Linked DNA regions of Pelodiscus sinensis. The protein of the gene in region 1 interacts with the protein of each later gene in a pairwise test. Links are inferred from orthologs where the notes say so. Each region holds a gene or a part of one and is shown in the gene's direction. Other genes may lie near its edges.

Evidence for each region.
Region 2: the proteins of RALGDS (region 1) and RAP1B interact in binary tests that used the Homo sapiens proteins (3 or more experiments, as listed by UniProt). The link is inferred for Pelodiscus sinensis from reciprocal best matches to the Homo sapiens genes RALGDS and RAP1B.

Annotation. Positions count from the first base shown.
Region 1 is NC_134732.1:15,949,983-15,960,937, reverse strand, and holds the start of RALGDS (ral guanine nucleotide dissociation stimulator), read left to right. Parts: upstream 1-6,021; 5' UTR 6,022-6,535; coding exon 6,536-6,721; intron 6,722-10,955. UniProt on the Homo sapiens protein: Functions as a guanine nucleotide exchange factor (GEF) activating either RalA or RalB GTPases and plays an important role in intracellular transport. Interacts and acts as an effector molecule for R-Ras, H-Ras, K-Ras, and Rap.
Region 2 is NC_134711.1:63,351,169-63,362,148, forward strand, and holds the start of RAP1B (ras-related protein Rap-1b), read left to right. Parts: upstream 1-5,561; 5' UTR 5,562-5,738; intron 5,739-6,507; exon of another isoform or gene 6,508-6,573; intron 6,574-10,980. UniProt on the Homo sapiens protein: GTP-binding protein that possesses intrinsic GTPase activity. Contributes to the polarizing activity of KRIT1 and CDH5 in the establishment and maintenance of correct endothelial cell polarity and vascular lumen.

The DNA of each region.
Region 1 (10,955 bases):
TGCAAAGACAGCAAAGCAAAAGGCAAAGGGCCACCAATAGAGTTATACTGGACTTGAGAAGACTATGCAGGCAAGGACAGTTCAAACATTAATCATCCATAATATAAACTAAGAGGGGCTGAGCTGTACCAAGTGAAGGCTGTGTGATCCCATTCTCAGATCACTCTGCTGTACCATGGTGCTGTGAGATCCCACCCTGCACATTGGGGCAGTCTGTTGGAGGATCTGGGGGCCACTGGAGTAGAGTTTATGCAACTCCCAGGGTGGGGAGGAGAGGAGGCCACACATGAGTTTCAAAGTAGCAGACACTCGCCACATAATCATTATTTGTGTGTGTTTGGCACCTTCTTTCTCAGAGCAACTTGAAGCCGTTAATTCATGTAGCCTTAGCCTCTCTTCCCATGTTCTCAATATTTACACCCCCGTTTTACAGAAGGGGTCATCGAGGCACAGACCATATAAAGAACTTGCCAAAGGTCACTCAGTGAATCAATGGCGATGTCGAGAATAAAGCCCTGCTCTCTTGATACCCTCCCCTGCATTGTAACCACTAGACATTCTTCCCCTACTGTGGCACATTGAAAGTTAGTCAGCAGTGGAGAATGCAAACCACAGAAAAGAGGGGGCTCTTAAATGACTATGGATAAAGCACTGGGATAACAGCCAGGGAGTTACTTTCAGAGGTTTGGCAATCACCTGGTTTCCTTACCTTTGTGGAATAAATTGCTAAATGGGCAAGTACTATCTGTGGAGAGGGAACTCTGAATCCTGAATTTTCAAATAAACTCCCCAAATGCTGCCACTCCAGCCAGCATGAGGCCTGGCACCCGGGAATTAGAACAGAAACACTGATGCCGTCCTGAAGGCGAGATGGGCCAGTAGTGCAGTGTTGGAATATCTACTAGATCACAGGCACAGACAAAGCCTGGGGCTCAGAGGTGCAGGAGGTGATTAAAATTGTCTCTGTGGGATTTGAACTCTCGTTCTCTCTGGGCTGGGTTTTGTTCTTTGAGTGTTTGGCTGTAAACACATTGGTGTGTTTAATGTAAATTCCTTCTTACGCCAGGCAGCCCCGTCTTGCTGATTGTTCTGTACAAAGGGTGAGGTTACTCTGGCTAGCACTTCGAAGAAGCAGGGGTCAAAAGGTGGACGGAGGCAGAGTGTGATCCAGAGGCCTGGCTTGGAAAGTGGCTGCTGGGTCTGACTCAGTTTCCCCATCTGTAAAATGGAGATGGTGATACATGCTCAGAAATCACATAGAGATTAACATTTTTTGCAAAGCAATTGTGGTGTTGCTGATCAATGCTAATGCTAGCAACCTAGATCAGCTTTGCACCTCTTACCAACCCTTTCAGCATCTCTTTCCCCTGTGGGGGGATGTTGACAGCACTATCAGTAGAGAAAGTGAACTCCCTAACAAATTAGAGAGAGGCGGTACAATCATAGAATCCTAGGGTTGGAAGAGACTTCGGGGTCATCGAGTTCAAACCCTGCACAAAGCAGGACTAACCCCAACTAAATCATCCCAGCCAGGGCTTTGTCAAGCCAGAACTTAAAAACCTCTAGAGGTGGAGATTCCACCACCTCCCTCGGAAACCCATCCCAGTGTTTCCCCACCCTCCTAGTGAAATGGTTTTTCCTAATATCCAACCTAGTAATAGCCCATATGAAGCCAGCCCGGAGCCCTGCAGATCCTGGTCTATACAGATAGGCCATATCTAGGAATGTGATGGAGGTGGAGAATTCTGTAAGGGGGAACATGAGGAAAGTGACGCTGAGGAATAGGCCTGGGGGACGAGATACTACAGGAGAAAGGAAATGCAGAAACCTGAAGTTAAAGACAGACTGTGTGAGGTGGAATAAGAACTGGGAGTATTAGAGGAAGTAGAGAGAGGTGCAGGGAATGCGTGCGCGTGCGCTTGTGTGTGTGTGTGCCTGTGTGTGTTTGTGTAAGGTGTGATGGTATGGTGGGGCGCAGATTTGGGGGGATAAATTAGCAGAGAAAGGGGAGGACAGTGGCAGGAAGGGGGGAGGGATGGAGGGACTAATAACCAAAGGGAAAAGCAAAGGCACAAGGCAGGCAGGAAGGGAAAATAGAAACTGATAGCAAGTGAAAGCGAGAGAGGAGGAGGAGAGCTGTTACACACAGCCACAGCTACAAAGAGAGATGGCGTACACATGTACAATACATTTTATTGTATTACCCAGTTGGACAAGAGGAAGAGTTGAAACTAAGCCTATTGACAGGAGACCATAACTTGGTTCCAGCACTGATTAGAGAGGGAATAAAAGGAGAGATTTTTTTATCCTGTTCCATTCCTACTCATTGGCTTAATTCTAGTCCCATGTTAGTTAATAGGAGCTTTAGCACAGAAGGATGTCAGTGGGAGCACAAAGCACTCAACATTCTGTAAAACTTTTTGCAGGGGATGAGGAGAAACCCGCCTTGCCATTTTAGCACAAGTGTCATGTTTGATGTTTTCCCTAAAGCACCAGCTCCTGAAGTCATATGAAAACCTCACTTTTTTTTTAAGATGTACATTTCTAGCCCTCATAGTTACAGAGAAAGAATTGAAAATATGATGTGAGTGCAACTTACACGGTCAAAAGTAGGAAGGAAAGAACCCTTGACTGGTTTAAAAATCATGAAACATTTGAATAATCTCATGATTTTGGAAGGGCTAGTTCATGACTGTTGAAGGCTTGGGGATGGCAGAACTGAGAAACTGTTCTGTGATGTGGCTAGTGAGTGTAGTTTGAGTGTTTTGCTTTTCAGGCCCAGAAAGATCCTAGGAGAACAGAGAGGAAACCGTCCAGCTATTTTTAAAGTTTATAGTTTGTAGTTTATTTCCTGTCATGTATTATTTATTACCCATTATCATTAGTATTATTCTAGGGAAACTGTATTTAGTGGCCAACCAAGGGACCAGCAAAAATTAGTCATCTAATGGCGCTGCATATTTTAGTAAAGGTCAGACACAGTTGAATTGGAGGCTGGTGCGTAGGGCAGGGATCTACTAACAGAAAGTGATTATGTGCTAGATGCTGTACAAACACAGATCAAAATGGCAGTTTCTGCCCCAAAGAACTAAGGGTGTGTCTACACAGCACCCTTTCCTCGAAATAAGCGATGCAATTTGCATTATGCGAATTGCATCGCTTATTTCGAGGTAGTTTGGAAATAGCTTATTTCTACACAGCGCCAAATTTTTAAATAAAGTGCTATTCCAATAAGTTCCTTAACCCTTGTGCCAAATATTTTGAAATAATGGGCATGTTTTAAAGATGCGGAATAGCTGTTTTGGGATACTTCTGGGATCCCAAAATAGCCCCACTGTCTATATGTAGCCTAAGGGTGTCTGCACTAGAGAGTTTATCGCAGCACATCTGTACAATTCAGCTGCACAGCTGTAAGAGCTCTCATATAGCTCTTCTATGCCGACGGGAGAGAACTGTCCCATCAACATAATTAAACCGCCACCAGTGAGCAGCAGTAGCTGTGTCCACAACCTAGTGCTGTGCAACCAAAGTAAAATGATGTGTGTTTCCTTGTATAATTAAGTTGTGACTCCAAATGCAGTGAGCGCTAAGCAAAGTGCCACATTTATTCCATCTCATGATGCCAGCATGTCTCACAATACTGTCCAAGCACCTGACAGACCTTTGAAAGTTAGCTTTTCTGCCGCCCTGTTCAATGAGAGTGTTTTTAGCTCTGTTTTAAAGATGGGGAAACTGAGTCACGGAAAGGGTTAAGTGACTTGACCAAGGTCGCACAATGAGCCAAGAACAGAAACTAGAGTTCCAGGTCTTTGTTGCCAGAGCAACCTTAGAGCCAAAGAGAGGATCTCCCTAACAAGAATATTCCCAGCATAAGGGAACTTGCTGAATAACCTAGAGTCCCCTCCCCCTCATGGAGGTGCGAGGGAAGAAAGGAAGAAAGAGTCAAGACTGAGTGAGGCATACTGCACACAGGCTATTTATCAGGGAACCCTTTGAGGGTGAAGGGCAGTTAGAGCCATGGACAAATTTAGCAGTCACACACATGGATTGCCAACTCTCACTATTTAGGAAGTACAGTATACTTTCTACGTGTTAAACAAAATCTTTTTTTTTTTTTTTTTTTTTTTTTTTGCTGAGTCCCTATAAAAATACCCAATCAGCCAGTTTCAAAGGAGTGCCCCTATTCATCTCCCCATGTGCTCCTATTTATAGCTTCCAGATGTTGGCAGGATTTTGTTCAAAAACAGAAAGGAGGAAAAGTGTACTGATTGTAGATTCAGGTTCTCTGCTGGTTTCCTGCAAACTCTGCTTTGTTGAAGTTCCTACATTGGAAGAAAACAAGGAAAAATTTCTAGCTCTCCAGTGTCTGGGCTGAACATCTTTCAGAGTGTCAACTGATACACCATTGTCCCTTTTGAGTCTGCAGATAGAGTGGGACAATAGCGTGGATTACTCTCACTTAGCACAGGGGGCTGTTAACTTATAAGTTGAATCATTATCCCTTTAGTCTTGGCTTTCTTAACCCTTTCTTTACCCATCATCCTGGCTGAAACTTCCAACTGCAGATGTGCTCATCTAAAAATGCAGCGGGATGCATTGAATGCATCATGATGTTCTTGTAGTGAATATAGTTGTGAGGTTTTAATACACAGAGAGTTTAATATTCTTTCAGCTGTTCAGAAAACTGAGACATGAAAGTCCATTTGGGATTAGAATTCCATGTTTGCAGGATTGCACCTTTTAGCAGCCGTGACAGCTAATGAACTGTTTTTCCTGGTTCCCTTTGTACTTATAATAGTTACAATATGTGGATTCAGCGTCCCTTGTTTGAAGGCTCCAACCCCCTCCCGGCTCAGGCACTGTGAATCTTGTACTGAGCCAAATTCAGCTCTGCTGTAAACCCCTTTACATGGGAGTCTTCACTTTAGCTCCTTGATCTCAGGCCTTCTGCGCGCAGGGGGGACCCTAGGAATGGCCATGCAGGATCCAAGCAAGCCCCAGTCCTGTTACTAGTTTGCTGGGAGGTCTTGGGCTATTTACTTCAGCTCCTTGTATCTCACCTTCCTCTTCTGAACATGATGGTACTGACCAAGACCTGCTTCATAGGTGGGCAGCTGTGTGTAGTTAGATTGTATGCCTCCCAGCATTTCCAGTGGCCAAAGTGGGACATGTTTGGCCCCTGGGGGTGGAAGGCGTGTGTGTGTGTGTGTCATCCGCTGCCCCAGTGGGTCTGTCCTGGATTCACCTCTCAGCAGCTGTCCTGTGGGCCTGGCTGTGCCCAGCTCCCTACGCAGCACTGAAACCCTGGGCACCAGGGACCAGGTTGCAATGCCCAGAATGGGGACCAAGCCCAGCCAGCCCTTTGGGACAGGAGCTTTTTCAGCAAAGAGATGGGAGTTTCACGGGTCAAAGCAGGGACTATAGGGAGAGATGTGACTATTCAGTGTTTTGAACATACAAGGTGCTGTCTAAGGGTTAATCTCTCTGCAGTCTCGTCTGTAGCACAAAGCTGGCAGTGATGTAACTAAATCAAACTTAGGCGTATTCAGAAACAGAATTATTATTATTATTCAGCTTGGGTGGTGCAGACCACCACCCTCCTTGTGCTAGGTCCTGTACAAGCACATGGACAACAGACAATCCCCGCTCTATGGAGTTTATCTTCTTGGTTTTCTTGATTTGATTTGATAATTTACCAACCTAAATTAAATCAGCTTCAGCCAGGCATGGGGGGGGGGGAGGGGGGGGCTGAATCTATCTGATTGGTACGGCTGGGACTAGATTGATTTTAAATAGATTAAACAAGGAAGAGTCTTGTGAAGCCTTAAAGACTAACAGCTGTATCTGAACATACACTTTTGTGGCTAAAAATCACGGTCAGGCATCGAAGTGGTTTTTACCAACCCAAGTTTGGTTCGTCTCTAAGATGCCACAGGACTCCTCCTTGTTTTGACAGACAGACTAGCAGGGCTGCCCCCTCTGGGACTGAAATAAATTGAGTGACGGGGGCGAGGGGGGCGCTTTTCTGTTGCAGACCAGCCCTGCCTCTGGCTGTGCGCAGGCGGCTGTGTGTTTCTGCCATTTCGAGCTCCCTGCCGCTGGAGGGGCTGGTTTTCAAGAGCTGCCGCCAGGTTTCGCAGGGAGCCGAGCTCTCCCATGGAAGGGCCTGACTCCCTCCAGGGCCCTGCTTCCGAGGGTGCCGCAGCCGGGAGGGCGAGATCCTGACAGCGGCGCTTTGGAGAGCCGCGCGCTCCACCTCCCCGGCGTGGCGCTGTGTAGCTCTCGCCTCCCTTCCCCGCCCCCTGCCGGAGTGTCAGCGCGGCTCCGGCTGCCCTTCCCCTGCCAGTCCAGCGCCTGGCTTTGCCGGCTCCCGGCGCAGCAGCGCGGCTCCCCGGCGTGGGTGGGAGCGGGCTGCCCGGGGCTTGACAAACCCGCTGCGCGCAGCCAGGAGCGCGGACGCCGCGGCGGCTGGGGAGCGAGGCAGAGCCGCGCCGCGCCGGGTCCGCATGGGGGGCTCGCGTCCCGGCGCCTTCCCATGGTGAACCGAGCGCGGGCGGAGCGGCGCCATGCCGAGGCGGGCAGCCCGGAGAACATGTTCGAGAGCTCGCGGCGGACGAGGAGCCTCTGGGACGGCGTGAGGCTGGAGGTGGCCGGCGAGAGCAGCAGCCCCGTGGTGCTGCACAGCTTCACCCAGCTCGACCCCGACCTGCCGCCGCTGGAGGTGAGGCGGCGCCGGAACCTGGCCCCGGGCGAGCCTCAGGGTGCGTGGGTGGGTGAACATCACTGGTGCAGTGAGCTGCTGGGTCTCAGCGGAGCTGTCTGGCGGAGCCGCTGAGTCTAGAGCGGGCATCGCTTTGCCAAGGTCCAAATGTGCTGGGCAAGGTATAGCCAAGGGCCAGACACAATAAAAACAACCCCCCTCGGCCCCCCAGTAATTGTAAGTCAATCAAAAGATTTCGGGGTCTGTTCGAAAGCACATGGTGGTGGGGCTGTGGCCCGCCTGCCTCTTGATTAGGCTGGTTTGGACAGTGTGAGCCCCTGCCCCACAATTTGTGTGCAGGCTTCGTGTTTCATTCTTCTCTAAGCGACCCCCTCTTTATGGAGGTCAGATTCCCCTTGGATTTGGTGCTTTTGGGTTGTTGACATATGGCTAAAACACTGGGAGGAAGGGGGGGTCTTAGCTGATTTATGTTGCAGGTGATCATTGAGTGTGTGGTGTCATTTTACTCACTGTAACCACGGGGCATGGGCATGCTGCCTTTTCTCAGCATAGGGTCCCCCAGGCTGGTTTGCAGGTGGTAGGAGTTTGTACGGTCTCTGCCCAACAGGTTTCTGATGCTGGTTTATGTTGTGCATCTGATGCCCAGAAGCTGAGCCCTGGCATGGACCGGGAAACTGAAGCATATGGTGCAGGCTGCTCCGGAAGGAGAGGAGCACAGTCGAAAATATTCTGGCAGTTCTTTTTGCTTTTATGTCAGAATGGTAAATAGCTGCCCTCTGTGATCTCTTTACTCCCCTCTTATGCCATTATCTTTCTGGCAGGCTTGCTGCCAAGCTGGAATATCTATTAGGAGAAAGCAGAGAGATGCGCGCCATCTGATGCAGCTAGCAGAAGGGAGCAGAGAGCTAGAACCAGGGCCTTTTAAATATTTTATTTGAGAGTCTGGCATCCTGCTGGAGGCTTGCTGTACCGTCTGCTCAGACTCTAGCTGCCTGTGAAGGCTTCGGGCCTGCCCAAGTTGCAAAAAAAGGACCCAAGCAATATCCTCCCCCGCTGTGGGGATTGGCTTGTAAGACACTCAATGGAGGATGAAAAACAGCCATACTCTAAGTCTAAGGCACGACCCTGGATCTTTCTAGGACGCACTGGCCCTCTGTGGCTCTTGCTGGCTTCAGATCACGGGTTTGCTGGTTGGAATTGCGGCTGTCCTTCTAGGGGGATGAGTGGCACACAAAGCAGCCTGCTTTTTGCCAGCAAGGAGTTGGGAAAACGTGGGGAACCCTAATCGAATGAGCAGTTCAGGGAAGGGAGATTGCATAGCCCAGCATAGCATAAGTAAGGGAACATGAGGTGCTCAGGTCAATGTTGGAGACCCACAAAGCATCTCTTGGTATGTCTCAGCAAGCCAGGTCTATACCCATCTACTGCTTCTCAGTTCTCTGGGTCAAAAAGAGCATTGTGCCCTTCACCTGCTAGGATAGTGACTTTGGTGCAAGGTGGTGTATGTGTTCAGGAAACTTCCACCCATCCCTGGATAACTAATGCTGCGTTTCACAGCTGGCTCGTTCGTTTTGTCTGGTTCTGTCCATTGGTTGGATAGAGGAAGTTAAAGCATGCACCTGTGCTCCCGAGGTGAAGAAGAGGTTTAAACCAGAACAAGATCCATTTCCATTAGGACTTACAGCCACCATGCTTATCCAGTCCTGGATCTGTCTTGCTGGAGAGAGGGTCACCACTAAAACCTCTGGGGTCACTGTGTAAGTAGCTAGGAAGGGAGGGAAGACAAGATTTAAGTGAGTTACAGGGCAGAATAGATAGCACTGTGATTAACAGCCAGGCTCGGTGGTAGAGGCAACTTCCTTACACATGTCCCTGCCCAAGTGGAGCCCATGTAGAGCCCTGATCTCTCAAAATCCCAGATAGGAAAGAGGATTCTTGTGGTATTGATTGTGTCATCCCACACCTGGTTTGTCTGGTCCTCTCACCCCATGGCAGGTACTCCAGGGATCGTCCCCATCAACTCTGTAAAAAAAAAAAAAAAAAAATCACCATTGAGTCTGTTTTCTTCCCTCCCCCTTCTCCTCTCTCGGGGGTGGGCGTAGCGACATTGTTTAGAGCACATCATCTGCTTCTTGTTATGTCTGGCAGGAAGTCCAGCCTTGTAGATCCCCCTGCGCTCGCTCGTGGGGCCTGGCTCTTGGCTGGGAGAGCATTCAGCGCAAGGATATGGGGGTGGGGAGGGACGCCATTCTACTCATGGCACTTCTTGTGGTGGAAAAGTTGTTGCGCGTACTGAAGCCCCCGTACACTCTGGCCCAGGTCTCTGGGTTCAGAAGTTTGGCAGGACCCCAGGACTTCCAGTGGGATCTGAGAAGGGGAGATTGGCCGTGTTGTGTAGGAACAGAGCTGACTTGCATCACCCCCTGCTGGCAGTCTTATGGCAAAAACATAGACAGAGGCCCCTGCTTGGATATTTGGTGTGATTGCTGCCCCCCTCACCGCCCTCAATAAAATATTTGAAGGACTGCTGGGTTGTCTTTCTGGGGCTTCTCCGTGCTTCTCCTTTTTGTTGATTGGAGGAAAGAGGCGTCTAGTGGTTAGAGCCAATAGACAAGCCATTAGGATTCTTGAGTTCTATTCTGACTCTGCCACCCCCTCCCTGTGTGGGAACTGACAAGTCACTTCCCCTCTCTGTGCCTCAGTTTCCCCATTTACAACATGGGGAATACACCACTAAGATGGGTGTTGTGAAATGAATTAGAAAATGGCTGTGAGCACTTCAGAAGGACCCAACAAAGTAGGTCTTTGCCCACGAACGCTTATGCTCCAATTAATCTGTTAGTCTATAAAGTGCCACAGGACTTCTCATTGTATTTGCAGATTCAGGCTAACACTGATACTTGTCAGAAGGACCATGCTTGGACAGCGTTGTTACTGTGATTGTATCGTTTAAGAGCCTATTTGTAGTTCAGTGTTTTGTTGTGACAAAACAACTGGAGAATGGCAAACGGTTAAACCAGTGCCTATGTGTTAATATAAAAAAGCACTTTGTTTTCCAGACTAGGCTTTTATGCATCCCTGATGCAATCCTTTTCTATGCAGTGTGCACAGCTTCATTGACTTCAGTGGAGTTGCACTGCTTTCTACAGATTCAAAATCCAACATGGGATCAGTGCTCGTGACAGGGATTCGTGAAAAGCTGTCCATGAGGTTAAGTGCATATTCTCCTCCTCGTGGCCTCAGCTGATCTCCTGCTGATGCCTATGGAGCTTGTGCTATTTCCAAGGCATCATCCTGATGCCTCCATTCAGATGCTGTCAGACTCACAGACTGCATCCCCTTACGTTGTGGGGAAGCTTCAGGGGGTAGCCGAGTTAGTCTGTTACAGAGAAAAACAACAAATGGTCTAGTAGCACTTTATAGACTAACAAAACATGTAGCTGGTATCATGAGCTTTCGTGGGCACAGCCCACGTCTTCAGATGACTGGAGTTATGAGTTTAAGATGTGAACACTCGAAATAAATAGGAAAGGGGAAGGTGGGGGGGGAGAGGAAGGAGAGTGGGAGACAGCGCATCATTAAGTATCTGGAGAATGGGTACTTAAACCTAAGCAGATAAAAATCAAAGTCAATAGATAGATTCCCATGTCAGGAAGGATACTACTCATGCTAGGTTGCAGGAGCAGAGAACCTGCCCGCAAAGGGCTCTCCTCTGAGTGTGGTAGTCTCCTACAGTTCATAGGGCAATCATCACTGGCATTTCCTGGATGAGGATCTCTACCTGCTGGCACCCTACCAAAAGGTGCAACCTGGCTCCCGGGCGGGGCGGGGGTGTGTGTGTGTGTGGGTGTGGGTGTGTGTGTGGGTGTGTGTGTGTGTGTGTGTGTGTACGCGCGCTAGCACCTGCAGAAGAACACAGAGCTAGGCTGGCCAGATTTTTTGTTTGATCCCATTAAAGTAGGATGGGGGAGAGGCTTCTAAGTATGTTTATATAAGGATTGTGTTACCTGGAGATGGCTGTCTCAGGTTTCTGTAGAGCTCCGATCTACTTGAGGCGTAAGGGGAGTTAGTGCTGGATTGGCAGCTCTGAGTAGCCTGCGAACCATCCACGGGCAGAGATAGTTCAGGCTTCCCCACCATCATGATCCTAACTCCTGCGAAGGGTTAGGAACAGTGTTTCCTGTAAGCTGAGCGCTTGGCCAACTACCCAGGAGAGATTCTGGTGCCTCCCAGC
Region 2 (10,980 bases), on another chromosome or scaffold:
GAGGTGCCCTTATAGACCAATCATTAACCCACTGGGGCTCTTGTACATTTCAAAAGCAGAATCGCAGCAGAAGCAGCGCAAGTGGAGACTGCTTCAGTATCCGCTCATGCCATTTCCCACTGTCTCTCTGTAGGGATAACATATTAATGTATTAAAAATGTGATTCCCCCAAATGGAAGTGACTCCCCATAATTTGTTCTCCACAACTTAAAGTGTTTAGATTTATTAGGATTCTTCTTATTATTATTATTAGTTGTTAAGATTGTTAAATGTTTAGATTTATGATTATTATTGCCCCTTTAGAATATAATGTATTAGGTAATGTAACTTAGAACTGTTAAAAATATAATCCTATGTAACCAGAAACAGCCCCCCCCCCCCCCCCCTCTGTGCTCCAGGGCATGCTCAAGTTTGTGCAAGGGGCTGCTTGAAATTGACATTGCAAAGATACATTGTAACAATGCATTGTCAAACCACTAACTCTGCTATGGGAGCCAAGCCCTGTAATTGACTAAGGGCATTGTTACTTAATTGACGCCTGTTCTCTTTAAAACATTGTAACTTTACTCAGCACTCAGAGAATGTTTTAAGCAATACCACCCAGAAACTTTTTGTAACTACAACTCTGATATATGTAAAGTTATTATTACCAGAAACTTTTTGTAACTACAACTCTGATATATGTAAAGTTATTATTATACAAAAACATTGTATGGGAAACATTAAGGAATGTATGTAAGAGAGAGAGTGCTTGGATGATGAGTGAATGGTTCTAAGAGGTGCCAGCCTGAGAATACAGCAACAAAGGGCTGAAGAAGGCGTCAGGTGCCAGTGCAACCAAAAGGTGTCAAGTGGAGAAACTGGAGGTCCACCCGATGAGCTCACTGATGAGCACCTGGCAGCCACCCTGGAGACATCAGCATGATACAGCAATTTCCATAGACTGGCATAGGAAGAAATTCCTATAAGAACTGGACTAAAAAACTATGGAATCAGAGTCCAAGGTTCTGCTGCCAGCCTACCAGGAGCTTCAGATGCACATCTGATCAGGACTTCGCTCCCCACTACCATCACTTGTGTACAGAGTACCTGGCCAGTATCCTGTCACAAGCAACTTCCAGGCTGGTAACTATACACAGAACTTGAATGAATGGATGTATGAATGAATGGTTATATATATATATATATATATATATATATATATATATATATATATATATATATATATATATATATACACACAAGTGTATAAGGGTTAAGTAGTGATAGGAATAAGTAGTTAAACAACGTTGTTTGCTTCTATCTTTTCTTTATTTTTATTATCTTTACAATAAATGTGGCTTTTTGCCTTATCCCCCTCATAAGATCCTGCTTGCTTTTATTTGGTACAACATCTCTACCTCCCCAACCCTCCCAGAGATGATGCTGGGGGGAGCCAGCTTTTAAGCCAGCTCCCACCAGCACCAGCTCCTGATCTTTCTCTCATACTCACCCCCCCCCCCCATTGCCTCTGATAGAGACAGCAAGGGGGGGAAGTAACTAGTCACATCTCTAGTCGACTCGTTGCTTACATCCCTACTTGTGATATCAATTTTCAAAAAAGGATCTTATTAGCTATCTTCCAGTCATTTGGTACAGAAGCACATTTAAATGTTAGGTTACAAATCACAGTTAGTAGTTCCACATTTCTCATTTGAGTCTTTAGATCTGTTGAGTGAATGCTATCTGGTCCTGGTGACTTGTTACTGGGTAGTTTATCAACTTGTTCTCAAATCTCCTCTAATGACACCTCAATCTGGGACAATTCCTCAGATTTGTCATTTAAAAGAATTTGGGAATCTCCCTAACATCCTTAGCCGTGAAGACCAATGCAAAGAATTCATTTAGGGCATGTCTAGACTATGTTTTGATTTCGAAAGAGGATATGCAAATTCCTTCTGATGACATTTTCGAAACAGGATCTTTCGAAAGTGAAAGTAGTCTGGACGTGTTTTTTTCGGGGAAAAAACCTTTTTCAAAAACTGTGTAAACATCCTTTTTTTAGGAAGAGCGTTTTTTTTCCAAAAAGGTTTTTTTTTTCAAAAAAACACCCCGTATCCAGACTACCTTCACTTTTGAAAGATCCTCTTTCAAAAATGCGATCAGAAAAGGAATTTGTACATCCTCTTTCGAAAAATCTTTGTAGTTTAGACGTAGCCTTAGTTTCTCACAATGACATTATCTTTGAGTGCTCCTTTAGCATCTCGATCATCTAGTGGTCCCACTGGAAGTTTAGAAGTCTTCCTGCTTCTGATGTACTTTTAAAAAGTTGTTATTTTTTAGCTAGTTTTATCAAAGTACTGTACAGGTTTTAGCTGTAAAACATCAAGACATTTGTCTAGACTTTGGAAGAGATTTTATGATGTTTTGGATTTTATTTTAGTGCAATGCTCTGAAGAAAAATATTTTAAGGTAAAAGTAAGAATTTCTGTGTCACTTGCTTGGTGCCTTAAATCCAGAGGGAACATCTAATACTGAGATTTGTATGCTCTTTTGGTGCACTTTTACCACCTCTGCTCCAATGCTCTGATAGTATTTACTATAAATTTATCATGAGTTTTATGGACTTCAAATAATTTTCCACTAGCATGCAATTTGGGGAAATATATCCTTTTTTTCCTCTTGTCTATCTCTGTACTGCAAACAGAAAGCCGGTACTTCCTCCACACCCACTCCCTTTGCCAACAACCTCAATGCAACTTCCTGTCAGTTTCATGTATTCTGTGGTGAACTTCCTCTGAGCAAGAGCTTTATCTGTACACAGGTTAACCATTTGCTTACAAAGTATTTATCATATACATAAGTAATTTATTTGTAATACTTAAGTCTTTAAAAATATTTTATTCAAATGAGAGAGAACACTTGTGACTTTAAGAAAAAAGGCATTTTGATATTTGACAATTTTACACTAATAAATTGGAGGAGAAGGATCAAGAAAGGTCATAGGTCCTTCAACTTCAATAGGTCTCCTGCCCTGTGGCAATAGAAGCTAATGATAAATTGTAAGTGTTGGAAGGCTTAATAAGGTATGTCCAGAATAATATTTTGTATTTATATGACACCAATTATCCAAGGATCTCAGAGCACAAATGTGGGTAAGAATTGGGGATATATGCATTTGTGTTAATGTTAATGTTACATTTTCCCCACAGATTTTTAAAAATAATTTAAAGTTATTTTCTTCATAGGTTGAGACCAGGATTTAAACCAATCTCATGGTTTTAACTAATCTATAACTATTAAAATTAGGCTAAAACCTTGGTGGGGAAACAGATTCCTCCTTATATGTCTATAACCCCTTATATGGGATTTCTTACATTTCTTTTTGAAGAATCTGATGCTTGCCTAGGTTGGAGACACATAGGAAACAAAACTATACAGACCATAATGCTGATCCAGTAGATAGGGCAATTCCTACATTGCTAGACAAAATTCTCCTAGAACTAGCCTTCTATTTCAGTTCCTGACTGATGGCAATACCACAGGAAGACTTCATTTTGTTCCCCAAACTCTGAGGCAGTCTATGACAAGGATACAGATACCAATATGAGATAGTGGGTGAACAACTGACTTGGGGACGAAGTCCCAGCCTGCCCCTGACCACTCTATGCCCACCTGGCGACAGGTCTCTGCCCTGCACCCCAGCCCCACTAGCATGGCTGCTGGCCCCTGCCTAAGGCTAGTGCCTCCCCTCCTCCCCCAGTGCCGGGCAGCTGCACAGCCCCAGTTCTCACACAGCCTCAGACTCTGGAGCAGCCAGATAGCTTTGGTGCTACACTGATCCATAGGGCAGCTGTGTGGCTCAGGCTCCAGCCCCAGGAGCAGTTGGGCAGCCATGCCCCAGCCTTCCTGGCCTGCCAGGAAGCCATATGGCCTCAGCTTTCCCAGCTGGGCATGGATGACAAGTGAATGACTGCTTTAAAGAGGCATGCCCACCTGCTCCCTAAGACCCTGTCCCCATATGCTAGAGCCCTAAAGCCTCTCCCCCTGCCTGTAAAAAGAAAAGCCTTAAGGAGGAGCCTGAAGACCAAAGGATCCTTGGCCTGACCCCAGCCACAATGGGCCAAGCTGCTGCTGCTACTACCCTCCCTCCTAGCCCACCAGACTGAACCTCTGTTCCCCTGCGCACCGGGCTGCACCCAGTGCCTGTTTGCATCCCCTCTCCCTGAGTGCCAGATTGTTCTTAGCATTGGGCCAAGCTGCCAGCAGCCTTTCCAAGTGCCAGCTCCCCCTGCCCTAAAGGTGGACTGTGTGCTAGTTGTCCTGCAGTGGGTTGGTGACAGCACCAGGCAAAGGCATTGCCTTCCTTGGCCTATTACAGCAGCTGTACATGAGCATGGGTGGGACCACCTTGGTCTTTGTGGGAAGGCAATGCCTGCCCTTGCCTACATAAGTTGCCAATGGATGCCATTCATGAGTCATTTGCAATTATGCAAATCCTACTCCCGAATGGGGCAGGCAAGAGGGTAGTACGGTAAGGCCTGAGCCCTCAGAGCATGCTGGCAGTTGCGGCTAACGGAGCAAGTCAGTGAGAACCATTTGGTGTGACATGGTGCATGGGGGGTAAAAATGACTCCATATAAACAAACAAGGTGGGTGAAGAAAGAGCTTTTAGGGGGCCAACGTCTACAGATACTGCAAATGTGGGTCACAAGCAGGTACAAACTAGGGATGTTAAATATCACTTAACTGAATAGTCGACTAACCTTATGAATTCTTATTGGTTAGTTGACTATTCTATAGCCCCCGGGGGTGGGGTCCAGCAGCCAGTGCACCTCACTCCTAAAGAGCCCTCTGCTACTCCGTGCTGCTGCCTCTATATCACAGGCATCAGTGCAGAGTATCAGGCAGGTGTTGGTCTGTGAGGGGAGCCAGTTTAAAAAACAGTTCCTGCTCCTGTCACCCTGTGCTGTTGCTTCTGCTAAAAAGATAGCAGCATAGGGTGGCAGCAGCTCTTGTCTGGGTGGAAGTCTGAGCTCCTGGACCCGTGCAAGTTGGAACTGAGCTGGGCTGTTTGCCGGCCCAGCCCCAATGCACTTTAAATGCAGAGCCACAGCACGGGTAGGTGCCAGACTTGTGGCAAGCTAGGACTGAGCCAGGCTGCTGGCTAGCCTGCTTAAAAATGTACTGAGTAGGGGGAGGGAGCGCGGAGAAATGCAAGTAACTCATCGCATTAACCTCTAAGTTTTTGCTTACAGGTTAATCAGCTACACTATTGCATGCCTAGTACAAAGCACAGGGAGTGAGGCAGTGCAAGAACATCCTCCCCCCTGCGCCTCTTTGCCCTGTTTGCCCGCAACCCTCCATCAGTTCGGCCCCACCCCGGGACCCTGGCAGGGAGACGTGCCTGCCCCTCCCCCCGCCACTACCCGATGCGGGCGGGGAGCGGAAATCGGCCGGAATGGGCGCGAGAGGGGAGAGGTTCTGCGTGAAGCGAGGGCGGGACCGTGCGCAGCGAGGCTGGGGCTCGCGCGTGCGCAGTTTGGAAGCAGGGCGGCGAAGTTACCTCCTCTCCCCCCCACCCCCGCCGCCGCCGGAACGGGGTAGGGGAACCAGAGCGAGGCTCGGCGTGCGGCGTCACGACGACGGCTCCAAGCCTCGCCCAGGCAGCGGCAGCGCGAGAGGGAGCGGGCGTGCGGAGCAGGCTCGGCCGGGCAGGAGGCGACTGGGGGGAGCGGCGGCGGCGGCGGCGCTGTCCGGTAGGCGGAGGTGGCGGGGGAGAGGGCGGCCGGGCCTAGCAGGGGGCCGCTCCAGCCCCGGGCGGGCGGTGGCTGCGGCAGCGGCGTGTGTCTGGCGCAGGTGGCCCCGCGGCAGTGGGAGCGGGGCGGGTGGAGGGGCCGGGGCGGCGGCCCCGCCGGCGGGAAGAGCGCGCGGTGCGGACAGGGGGCCGGTGCCTGAACATGGCGGAGCAGGAACCGAGAGCGGCCGCCGCCTCCTGCGCCCGGCAGCGGGGACACCCGGGCGGCCGGAGTCTGGGGCTTGGCTGCTGCTCGCTCCCCCGCCCCTCGCGCTGGGGGTGCCCGGCGCCCGCCCGCCCGCTCGCCCCGAAGTTGGAGCGGAAGCGGAAAGTTGTAACCCTGCAGCTCTGAGCTGCTCGCCTGGGCCGGCCGGGGTGGGGGTCAGGGGCGGCGGGCGGGCGAGCTGTGAAGAAAAGTTCTCGCTCCCGCGGTGGCAGCTCGCTGTGGGAAGTTGAGTTCAGCCCCACCTAGTCCGGCCGTATCAGCCGCTGCTGCTCACAGTTTCCATCATCCTCCCTCGGCGTGGGAGAGTGTCCACCAGCCTGGCACCATAGGCCTCGTCACTTGTATTGGACTGAGGCGATCCTCCGGCCATGGTGTCGGCCCCCAAAGTCTGGGCATCACGGGTAACGCATTGAGACTGTGCTGGATCTTACCTTGTTACAGGTTCTCTCTTCATGCCAGGAGCTCTTTTTGCTTTAAAACTTGTGGTTTTCTGTGTTTTATATAGTGCCTCAACTGTACTTTGGTCGTGGGGCTAAGAAGGCACGGAACCTGCCCAGAAAGAGCTTGCAATGTAAATAGACAACACTGCAGTCATTTTAATGTTTATGAATCTTCTGGTCCTTGTCCCCACCAGACCTTAAGAAAAGGTCTTAAGTCTGGAAAAAAGGTCTTAAGCCTGTAAGGGGCAATCATGATTATCTAGTTTGAATTTCTACACAATACTGGCTTAAAAACCACACTCAATAACTTCTGCATCAACCCCACAATATTTTAGAAAGATTGCCATGCCACCAGCATGTTGTCAAAATGTTGTCAAAATTTATGCTGCAGAAGAATATAATTAGGCTTTGCTAGGGTTGCCAGGTGTCCAGTTTTAAACCGCACAATCCAGTATTTGTGCTTTCTGTTTGGGAAACAAATTTAGAAAATATAAATGTTTTCTAAATAAGATGTAATGTAATGTCAAGTGTGTCCGGTATTTTTGTTGAAACCATCTAGGCTTCTCAGGAAGTGATGATTATACTGTATTCCAAATTGACAAAGTGGACTATGCAACATTTACTGAAATGTTGATGTTCTTTGACTTTTTTAAATGAATGGCTAATAAATGCTATTTAGAAAATATGACTCTTCATTTTGAAAAGAGTTTCTATATTGTGGTATAAGTGTGTAACTTTATGTGGCTTCAAAAAAGACGATTTAGACAACATCATAAACCAAGCGTTTTAGTGGATTTTGGACACACATCTGGAAGTTTTGATGACACATTGAATTAAATCTAGCAACCAGTTCTTGTATATGTGGGGCCACATAATAGGTGTGTGTTAAAATAGTCAGACAAAGCTAATGGAATTGATGTTTTCCAAGGCTCTTTCATAGCATGTACACAAATTCCAAGGTTTTTTTTTTGAGTAAACACTTCTGAGTTTCAGCTATGCTTTTTGACCAGAGGTGGGCAAGATGTGGGCTGAATCCAACTTGTGGGCTTCGCACTGGGATCCTGGGGCGCAAAGCAGCTCCACACCACTTTAAGCCCCTATTGCTTGGTCAGTAGGAGCTAAGAAATTGTGGTGGGGGTAGTGGCAACGTGCAAAGCCACTTCATCCTCCTCTCCTCGCTCTGCCTGAAGCAGAGCGTCATGGGGAGTGTCCAGCCATTTTGAGCAGCATAGGGCTGCAGCAGATAGGGTGCCTGCCTTGGGGTCCTGCAGGGCTGCTGGCAGGGAGCCCTCTAGGTAAGCAGCTACCTGCTGGAGCCTGCTTCTGCCATTCTACTCCCTCCTATACCCCAACTTCCTGTCCCAGGTCACCACCCATACCCTCTGCACCCCCCTCCTCCAGGTCAACTCCCTCCCAGACTCTGTACTCCAAGCCAGAATCCTCTTCTGCACCCATTCTCTCTCCCTGACCCAACACACCATTCATCTGCCCCTGATTGCAATCTCCTCCTTCACTCAAACTTCCTCTCAGACCCCACACTTTCCTGCATCCCAGTCCCCTACCCCTAGCTCTCTTCTGTATCCAACCTCTCAGACTCTGCACCACATCCATAGAAAAGTGCAGTCCTTGGCCACTTACCAGATCTTGGAGTGGGCCCTCCATGAACAATTATTGCTCACTCCTGTTCCTGACTGCCCTACTTATTTTTACCAACTTATGTCGTGTACTGCACAATAACTAGTCAAATGAGACAGTTATATTTCTTAATACAAGGTCACACATTGACACTGGAATGGACTTTTCTATCTTTGGTAAACTTAAAACATCTTAATGCCCAGTTTAAAAGTTTTTGACTTATACATTTTAGATGGAAACCTAAGTAAAGTGCTGAATTCAGTGCTTCTAAATGTTTTTCACTTATTTTGCTCAGGATTCTAGTTTTTTTTTCTCTGTCAATTGCCAGTAGCCTACAACGGGCAGCCTGCAGGCTAGATCTGTCCTGCTGTAGTCCAGCGGGACCCTCAGACAGGCTCCCTTCCTGTTATAGACCCACATGTTGCTCAAAGCAACTTTGAGGAGCACCCTTTGTGTGGAGGAGGTGCTCCAACGCCTTGCCCACACACGCCATCCTAATAGTCTCCCATTGACTACCAGTTTTCATGGTTTTATGTTTCTATATTGTTCACATATTAGTTGACTCCATTGTTATAAAAAAAGACCCAACAAAAGGGTAAAGTGACTATACAGAGGGTATGATGAAATTGATTATCACAGAGTGCTATAAAATGTTCAGAAGGTAAACAAAACTCTTCTTTTAGGCGTGGTAATCTTGTTAGTGTTAATCTGAGTGGGTACTGACAACAGTAGTGTCCCAGTTACAGGCATCTTGGGAGTGGAGGTGACTTGTAACTCTGAAATGCTCACAACTCTGAACAAAACATCTTGACTGTTTTTTTCAAAAGTTTACAGCTTAACATTGATGTGATAGTCTTTGTAACTATTATGTAGAAGAAATTGCTGATTTTAATCATAATTTGAACAAAAACAAGCACATAAATGGTTTCCTTACTTTGTCAAATCCTTTATATGTACCAGTAATGTATAGTGTGTTTTTTTTTTTGTCTGCTGCTTGATTGTGTTCTTTTGGTTCCAAATGGAGGTGTGTGGTTGACCAGTCTGTTTTGTAACTCAGGTATATTTAACTCTGAGGTTCTACTGTACTATTGCCATGTGGGATGTATACATACTACCTTATTTTAAACCCCCATTATTAGGACAATTCAAGACCTGGAGTAAAATTTAGCCAGTATGAGCCAATTTCTGTTTTGTGCTGTTGGAGAAAATGTTGGTATCAAGTAAAGTGGACTACTGTTTCAGTTTTGTTTGAGATTTGCTGGAATAGCAGCACAGGTATTAATCTAGGAGCGAATAAGCCCACAAAAAGGAAAATAAAAAATCTTGAGAGGTTTGAAAGAGAAGAAAGTTAAACTTCAGTACTCTAATAGTCTAACAGCTAGTTCTGTAATCAGAATCAACTAAAACAACTAACTCAACAATCTCTCCCCCCCGCCCCCATTCTTCCTTGTAGACAAAAATGGCATTCTCTCCCCCCCGCCCCCATTCTTCCTTGTAGACAAAAATGGCATTAAAGCACAATTCAGAATAGTGGTGCCCAATTTTATTACATGTGGGGGGCTAGAGATGTAATAGTGTCAGTTAACCCCTGATAAGCAAAAGTTTATAGGTTAATGCTATAGATTACATGCATTTCCCCCTCTCCTCCCGCCAACAAATTTTTTAGCAGGCTGGCCAGCTGCCCAGCTCAGTTGTGGCTTGTGACGTAAGGGGAGTTGTTTTTTAAACAGGCTCCCCTCATGGACCCGCTCTCGCCTGGCACCCTGTGCTGCTGCCTCTGATATAGAGGCAGCAGCACAGAATGGCAGGGGGCTTCTTGGGAGTAAGGCCGGAGCGCACTGGTTGCCATCCCTGCCCCAGGGACTATTGAATAGTTGACTAACCAATAAGAATTTGAGGTTACTTGACTAATCAATGAACCAATATTTAACATCCCTAAAAGGAGCCACATAAGCCCTGCCTTGGGTAGACCAGTGTTTTTCAAACTGCTTAGGCTCTGCGAGGTTGACAAACTGAAAACATGGATAGGTACAATGCATACAATCAGTGGACTGCTGGGGCTCCGCATAAATTTTTACGCATGTAAAGGGCTCCGGCGCTCAAAGTTGAGAACCGCTGGTCTAGAAACATTTTACATCTTTGAATAAGATTTAAGGTCACCTGTGGATTTTTTTTTTTTAATTGCAAGTTACACTTGTTTTCATATGTATTTAGATAGGTTGTTTCAATGTGCAATAGTGTCTGTTTTCACACTTGTATAAGCTAAAATGATATAAACATATTGGCAAAGTGCTAATTTGCCATTAGTATATTGTATTGAAGCAAGCCATGGGCTGCAGGTTGAGCAACTCTGTTTTAGATTTCTCAGTTCACTTTCCACTAAAACTAAATTAATTTACTGACATAGTATCACTGAAGTTGTGACATACCTCTTTGTCTAACTTGCAATATAGTTATGATAATAACAGAACCTTAAAGTTCAATATGTGACTCTGGTTAATGGCACTTTTCAGTCTACATTGGATATATGTTTTGAGCAGGAGGTGTGTGTTTGCATCCCTGCTGAATTAGAAACAGAGCCTTGTGTTTGCTCAGTTCCAGTGTATCTATGAGAGTAAGGGATGTTTTGGACACAGTCTTGAGTCACAGGTTTGATTTCACTTCTTTTTAAAGTAGCTGAGATGTCTTATGCACTCTTAAACTTCTGGTCGAGCTGATCGCAAGTTGCCTTACATGAGGCAACTGACAGGCATAGCAATAGTGGAATATAGGAATGTCAGCATGTGGAATACTATATCAGAGGCAGCAAGGAGGGCAAGGCAGGAGCCAGTGGGGGGCCCCCGTGCTGCTGCCTCTGATAGAGAGGCATCAGGACGGATGATGGAGGCTGTCAGGGGAGGCTG